Oryzias latipes: one gene and its partner. Each later gene encodes a partner of the first gene's protein in a complex. Links are inferred from orthologs where the notes say so. Each region holds a gene or a part of one and is shown in the gene's direction. Other genes may lie near its edges.

The links. Proteins that work in one complex are often made in the same cells at the same time.
Region 2: rgs9 (region 1) and regulator of G-protein signaling 9-binding protein-like share a complex: the UniProt entries of both Homo sapiens proteins name them as parts of the RGS9-1-Gbeta5 complex. The link is inferred for Oryzias latipes from reciprocal best matches to the Homo sapiens genes RGS9 and RGS9BP.

The regions. Positions count from the first base shown.
Region 1 is NC_019877.2:13,914,726-13,918,375, forward strand, and holds part of rgs9 (regulator of G-protein signaling 9), read left to right. Parts: intron 1-1,605; coding exon 1,606-1,668; exon of another isoform or gene 1,669-1,675; intron 1,676-1,911; coding exon 1,912-1,941; intron 1,942-2,038; coding exon 2,039-2,100; intron 2,101-3,650. UniProt on the Homo sapiens protein: Inhibits signal transduction by increasing the GTPase activity of G protein alpha subunits thereby driving them into their inactive GDP-bound form. Binds to GNAT1. Involved in phototransduction; key element in the recovery phase of visual transduction.
Region 2 is NC_019861.2:25,736,321-25,740,562, forward strand, and holds regulator of G-protein signaling 9-binding protein-like, read left to right. Parts: upstream 1-1,372; 5' UTR 1,373-2,028; coding exon 2,029-2,769; 3' UTR 2,770-3,851; downstream 3,852-4,242. UniProt on the Homo sapiens protein: Regulator of G protein-coupled receptor (GPCR) signaling in phototransduction. Participates in the recovery phase of visual transduction via its interaction with RGS9-1 isoform.

The DNA.
Region 1 (3,650 bases):
ATGTAATTTTTATATGAATCGGCAAAAGTAAACTGTCGGATTTTCTTTGGCAACTGTGTTTTTTTGTTAACCACACACACATTTATGATATATATATATTACATTTTCACATTTTTTCACACACAAAAAAAAAGAGAGCAAACACCATATTTGCAAGCTTGTCATTACTATTGCCGTTTAAAATGTACAACTTGTAAATCCAACATTTTTCTCTAGTAGCCTCCCGATGGCGCTGGAGGAGTTAGGACGCGGTAGATTGAAATCGCAAGAAGGAGTTCTCCATATTTGATTTTGACTCTAGAAACCGTCGAAAGACAACCCAAAGCTTTGAATGAGAGGGGAATAAAGTGTAATTGTTCATTCTCTGATAGAAACATTCTGTTCTAAAAAAGCCCCCACAGAAAAGGTCATCTGATTGTTTATAGGTTAGTGGCGGTTGTGGTCATGTGACCCACTGGTTTATGGTGGAGTGACTCATTGCGAGTTCTTCAGCTCTGTGCTTGTTGTCATCTCGGCAGGATATGACACTATTAAAAAAAGGGGAATTTTTCTATAAACAGGCTTGTTGAAGGACAACCATAAATGTTTTATAGAGCTTCTGTTATCAATGAATCAAACACCCATTTTTTTTTTCTTTTTACTTTTTTTTTATTAAAAAGAAAAAAGACAGCACCTATATTGAAATGTATCACAGTCAGACTTTTAATAGTTTTAACATTAGCCACAGAGGAAAAAAAATGTTTTTTTTCAATTTTATGACCAATTAATATTGCATTGATCGCAGTTTCTTTTAGGTCTCTTGATCTATTTATTGGTGAAGGCAGGATCATCCTTTCCTTACCATTAAAAATGTGCAAAAACACAGAACAAAAATGTACAACAATTGTCACGACAAACCCAAAAGGGTTTTGTAGAGTTGGTTGTTCACTGGTGCACAATCTGAAATCAAAACATGACTTTAGTCATAAAAAAATCAAAATGTGGCAGTCTGTTGTAAAGTTTTACCATTTATTGCTAATATAGATATGGATTGGCTTACTGGTAATCAGTTACCAGCCCCCTGTTGGTTAATTAGTGGCCTGCACTGGCTCCAGCTATTTAAACAATATTCATTGAACTTTGTAGAAACAGCATGGAAAAAAACGTACAGCTTGTATTCTAAAAAGAACGTATAAATATGTTTCACAGGGTAAAGGATGGACAGACAGAGACCAAGATATTAAGCAGATAACATGTTCATATTAAGTTGTAGCCACAGGCATTTTAATGAAGATGTTTTCACCCCCCTGAGAGGTCAGAATGAATTACACTTCCACACACAGAAGTTAAGAAAGCATTCAAATATTTTACCTGACAAAACAGATCTGCTCACCTAAAATATGCACGCTCCAGTAGTCTCTTAATTTGTCATCTTTGTGTCAAAGTGTCTGCCTTAAACAGTCTAATTACCTGAAAGGTGTGAGTCCCATTCAGCTCGGGTGACTAATCTCCTTGTGTGCGCGGCTGAAAAAACTGACACACGATGTACAGCATCAAAGGGCATTGGGGTAATTAGTGCTCTGGAAAACACACATTGCCTAATTGTCGTTTTGTGTGGGACTGTAGCCGGGGACGGTGAGCGCCATGGACTATGGGCTGGAGCGACAAGCAGATCCCAATGCAGAGGAGGTAATGGGTGAGTATCTGCATGACCTGTATGAACATAATTCCTGTCAATCGGCTTATGTTCATTAAGAAGCTTCAAAGGATGAATGCAGTACTTCTAAAGTGTCTTTTTTTCTTTTGTCTTTTCTCCTCTCTTGCAGGCGTATCCTCTTTAGAGTTTATTCTACAACTAAATGTTTTCTGAAAATTCTAACCTGAAAACTGAAATATAAAAATTTAACTAATGTATATATTTTCTCCCTTCAGACAAAAACCCCTGACCACTATGAGAGAATTGTAAGTCAGTTTTAGAGTTTTGTTTGATTTTTTTTTAAAGTCAACTTGTCATTGAATCCTTTTAGAAGCTGTTTTTCTCTGTTTATGCTTTGTGCAGATGATCTTTACCCAACAGTCAATCATGAGGCCCAGAGTGAAGTCATCTGTGTCCATTGGCGCGTAAGAAAGTCCATTATTTACCTTTTTTTTAAATATTCCACGGTAAAAGGCTATCTATGGAAGCTTAACTGTTTTCACTTTAATTTTCCATACATATATGACTATTCATTGTTTATAAATGCCGTAAAACTGTGATTGGTCTAGAACAGGGGTCACCAACCCTGTGCCCGCAGGCGCCAGTGCGCCCGTGAGCAACCCTTGTGGCGCCCGCAGGGAATGCACCCAAAAAAATCTTTTTTTTTTTTTATTGAAGAAAATATTCAACAAACAACCACGGCATGTCTGTCAATGACAACAATATCAATTCTGAGATAAAGGTAGACAAAGAAAACCCAAATATGTAAACAAATATAACTTAAAAAATAATCACTAAAAGTAAGGGTCTATTACAAAAGTTTAAATAGATCAAATAAATTACACAATTTCTGGACATTCTTATGATTCATGTAATGTAAAGATTTTGAGAATAGGTTGAGGTGGTTGAGTAATCCATTAATGTGAGGATTAATATTCCTGTCTGTTTTTATTTACATTTATGTTTAAAAAGTTAAAATTAAGTTAAAGTTTTAAAGGTTTAAAAGTTTAGCTTTAGTGTGTTCAATAAATATTTATCTTGTTCGGCTGCAACCTAAAGTCTGTTTTGAAATTAGGCTCCCTCTGCAACTGAGTTTGACCCCCCCCCCCCCCCCCCCCCCCCCCTGTATTACGAGTCTAGAAAATTCATGCATGTTTTTGTGTGTAAAATGAGCAAATAAAAATAGGGCACTCAAAAGGAAGTCCTCAAATTGTGTTGTTTTTTTTTTTTGGGGGGGGGGGGGGGGGGGGCTAGGAGGTTTTTAGTGGCGCCCTTCATACCACTTGGTGCCCATGAAATAGCCCTCGGTCTCAAAAAGGTTGGTGAACCCTGGTCTAGAATTTGCTAACTCTAATTGCAGCATTGAAGATTTGTCTCAAAACAGCAAAGGCTTTGTGTTTTTCTTTCATAACCTGGTGTGCAAAGGCACATACACCCCATTTAATGAGATGAAGCAGATTACCATAATATGAAAAGTATGTGGTAACTACTTCTTAAGAATGTATGAATGTAAGAATGGACCACATTTTAAGCATTCTGAGTAAATACAAGAATTTTATTGCCAACGTCATGCATGCATTTGAAACACTAACATATTTTTTGTCAAATTTTAGTTTTTCTTTTTAAAATGCAGGTTGTCAAAATGACTACAAATGTATTTGTTAATCCACTGTACAGAGATTACAGAGAGGAAACAAATACTTCAAATCAAGTTTTATTTTTTAAGTTCCTGACAAAGACCCACGCAAAGTCAATGATGTAAATTTTAGTTGTTGTGTTTCTGATGAGGTTATTTTATACAAAATAAATTGTAATGTTCTGTAAATTTTGCCTTTACCTGCTTTGAAATTATATTAGGTTGATAGTTTAACTATCTATTAGGGGTCTATATAATGTAGAGGTGACACTATATAAGATTGCTTCTTCCCATTATGTTTCAAGCAATAAATCCATTTGACTTTAGCTAATAATCCTG
Region 2 (4,242 bases), on another chromosome or scaffold:
GACAGACTGGTTCTGCAGGAAATCAGGAATTGATTGTCTCGATGCGTTCACACTGAGAGGAATCAAACCAAGGCTTGACTCATTCTCAGCACTTGAACCCTACAGACCAGGTTGTCAGCAATCTCATCAACAGAGACAAACAGTACCGATTTCATTCTGGTAGCAGTTCTCTGAAAAGGCAATGAAGCCAGAATAAAATGGCCCCAAATTCCCCAGTTTGGACCTGTTTATAGGCCAAGCGCCAAGTTCTTTTACACAGGAACTGTGACAAGGTCTTCTTCATAAAGATTAAAATAACTCATGTGCATGTAGATTAAACTTTTCAGTTGGCTTAGACATTCCAGCCCCCCCCCCCCCCCCCCCCCCCCCCCCAAAAAAAAATGTGATGATTGATTTAATTTAATCACTCAAAGTTTCAAAACCAGAATCTGGCTCAAGCATCACTGCCTAGTCATAGTCCAGCTATTCAAATAGTTAATTACCGTCTATTTTAACAGCTAAAAGTAACTCCAGTATACAGATCCACAAAAAACAGGAATAATACCTTCAAGAATAACAACCAAGAAATACCTGGTAAAACACCAACGGTTACTACCATGGTGACATTTTCATCTAAAGAAAGAGTCCATTTGTTTAGGGCATATGACTCAGTGAAAGATATTTCTTATTAGTCAAATATGGCAGATTTTGCCAATGCACTGCAGATTATTTAATGAGATCAAATCACATAACGCATTTTTAAATAATTTAAATAAAGCTTGAATGGGGACTGAAACCAGGGGAAGTTTTTTATTTTTTGCAGGATTGATCATGAAAATCCAGAAATGATTATGTTACACAAACATTGAGCCATTCTTATTGCTTCCTTTGGCATCCCCATGTGCTTTAGTCCATTAGCTCCCTACTGTATTTACTGGATCATTAGACCCCATCTGCTTCAATAATGCAAAAAGAGCAAAGCGGGCAAACCCCTCGTGGCCTTACTTGACTCACCCTCTCAGCACAGCAGGAGAAAAAACCTAACAGCACATTATGTAGCCAGCATGTGTGCAACAATTGGCACCTTTTGTGGTCTCCATGGATGTACGGGCATGTATTGTGACAGCACTCAGTCTTATCTCTCTTAATTGAATTAGTTGAAAGGGTGGCTAAAATAATTTTAAACCTCATTTATCATGCACCTACATAAACTTTATTTGTGTTTTTCTTTGCGAAACTTAAAATCATGAAAACATGAGTGGTAAGTGTTAGTGGCAGATCCATTGAGGCTCTGTGATATGAGATCCGAGCAGCCAATGACAGGAGGCATTGTAGGCGGGCGCCAAAGTGATCAAACCAATGGGAGTGAATCCTTTTGTTTGCCTGCCTGCCTCTGAAAGGCTCCGTTTTATGCCCGCATGTGACCGCTGAAGGCGCACACAGCTATTTAAACACCGTCGATTGGGTGCTGAAGTGGACAGCTCCCCACGCAGATAAACAGATGAACGCGCAATGGCTCGTTCAGCTTGTGCCACCGGATGCTTCACAGCAGTAAATGGAGAGCCCCATTTTTGCTCCACGATTTTGACTCCTTTGAGTGGCTGAGTCGGGGAGGCGGTGAAGGCATCGTGCTCTCCTGCAGGGGCGGATATCGGGGCACCTGTAGAGCTTAATCACCGGGTCTTGTTGAAGCGCGGGGGGCGGAATTGTTTCACATCAGTTCGCCGTGGTCCAGCAGGAGAGGAGCTCTGGCGCCGTCTGATCCCGCGTCGGGGAAGCGTAAAGGTATCATCAATCCGACTAGAAGACATAAGCTTAGATTTCTAAGCCTCCCTTTGTGCCTATTTACGGGAGAGAGCATGATGGATAGAGAGGAATTTGCTCTGAGTAGTGCCTTGAGTGGATTTGCAGAGCGGGCGGTGAGCTCCCGGGGAATCTAACCCGCATGTGCACAGTGGCTCCAAGCACCACCAACAGTTCGCCATTTTTCCTCAAGCTCTTTTTTTGTTGAAAATTTCTAATCAGGATACAGCTATTTTATAACTAACAATGGGGAAAGAAGAGTGCAAAACAATGCTAGATGCTTTGAACAAAGTCACAGCCTGCTACAGACACTTGGTCATCGCGCTTGGAAGCACATCAGACTCCCAAAATTTGCGCGAGGAGCTGAAGAGGACCCGCAAAAAGGCGCAAGAGTTGGCAGTCGCCAACAGGACTAAACTGACCACCCTGCTCAAAGACAAGTCCATCAGCAAGGAAGACCGCGCCGAGTACGAGCGCCTGTGGGTGCTGTTCTCCAGCAGCATGGAGCTCCTGGAGGTGGACATGAAAAGGTCCCTGGAAATCGGGCAGGACTTCCCCCTTAAGGTGCCCACCAGACACCTGATCCAGACGGGGATGACCGGCAGCACCAGCACCGTGGCGGCGCGCGCCATGAGCGTGCAGAATATGAAGTACGAGGCGGACAGCAACATCGACACGGCGGACCTGAAAGACCTGCAGAGCGAGATCACCCAGGTGAGCCAGATGATGGAGGAAATGGAGATGAAGGTCCAAGTGGCGCCGTGGGCCGTCGTGGCGAAGCAGGAAGCCGGGGCCGAACTCAAATCCAACCTGAGTGTAGGGAATTCCTCCGTGGGCGTTATCTCCATCTGCGAAGAGGAGCCCAAAGATGATGAAGGTGAAGGCAGTAGAGGCGGTGGATTTGGCTCGGTCGGCGCTGTCATCGGATTCCTTTTGATCGTTACTGTTGCTTTGGTTTTAGGATATTTGGTGATCAACATGTCCTGAATATTCTGAAACTAACAAACCAAAATAAAAAAATTATATATATTATAGCCCACGCGGATGGACACCCCGCGCGTGGAGCGCCTCCACAGGGAAGAGCTGTCACCTGCCCAGGAGGCAAACAGGGCTTCAAGGGGATCCAATATGAATACATTGTTGACTTCTCTTAAATTCTTGAATGTAATTCGTGGAGGAGAGGGGCTGCACTTGATCAGATGTAGATAATTGTAGTCTGTGTGTGCTTTGTGAATGAGAGAGTGGGTGAAAATGGTAATTTATTTTTAGAAAAAGGAGTCACAAATTACGTGACAGCGTCTGGCCACCAGAATGACACAAACAACACCTAATCCAAGTGGATTATTGGAGATAAATGTAGCCTGTGGATAAGTATTCCCATTTCTGTCTGGCAGATTGATGTTTTACTTTTCTCACTTCGGTTCAGGAAAGTCAAATGTCTTCAAACAAGCAAAAGTACCATCTGGTCTGAGCATTAGTTCTATGCTATATAAGCCTGTTAAAACCCAATACAGCAGAGAAAGAACAGTTAATCCTGGCTTCTGCTATCACAGACCGGCTAAGATCAAATCTGCACTCTTCAACATCCACCTCACCTCCTCTTCCGTAACCCTTGTGCTATCCTAGGCACTTTAACATTGGGAGTTGGGTCATCTAGACCCACTAGACAGTGCTCTGAACCTTTTTTCTTCAATGATTTGTGAACCTCACTGGTGTCCATGGATTACATGAAATCTTTCCACCTTTATCCACCTTTGGCATGGTAGGAATGACACGTCAATGTAAGGGTGGGGTCATAGGATAGCACAAGGGTTAAGGTTACAGTGGGCATGCATCTAGCTTCACTGCACTAAAATCTCAACGAGCCTTGGGACCTACAATAAGATTTGTCTTTTAATGCACCTGTTCACTGTAAGCCTGTTCCTTTTCAGGGTTTTCTTGTAAGCAGTGTTGAATGTAAACCTTTTGCAAAATGTTAGTAGATGGTTTGTACATACGGTCTGTACTGCAGCATCAGATAATGTACATAAGTATATTTAATATAATAAAATTTTGAAACACACCTAAAATCAGGATTCTTTTGTATGTTAATACTTCATTTGACACAATTCTACCACCAAAACACGTTTAAAGAGTTTGTAAACACTGCCAAGATAATGTACTTAAAGGTATTTCAGGTTTGGCTTTACTCCCAGACCTAACAACCTTAGTGTTAGCAGAGTGTTAAATGAGAATGACATGCAGGTTTAAACTCCTTGATAGTTTTAGTTCTAAGAGTATTTGAAGATATTTGGGGAGTGGTGCAAAGGTGAGGTTGGCTGAAGAACACGAGTGGTTTCAGAAGATTGCAGAACAGTGAAAACGTGAACTTTAGAAAGTTTCCAATTCCATATCTAGCAATATTCAAACATCAAGTTTGAAATTATTTTCAGCGATGACTAAAAAATCACTTTTGTTTTT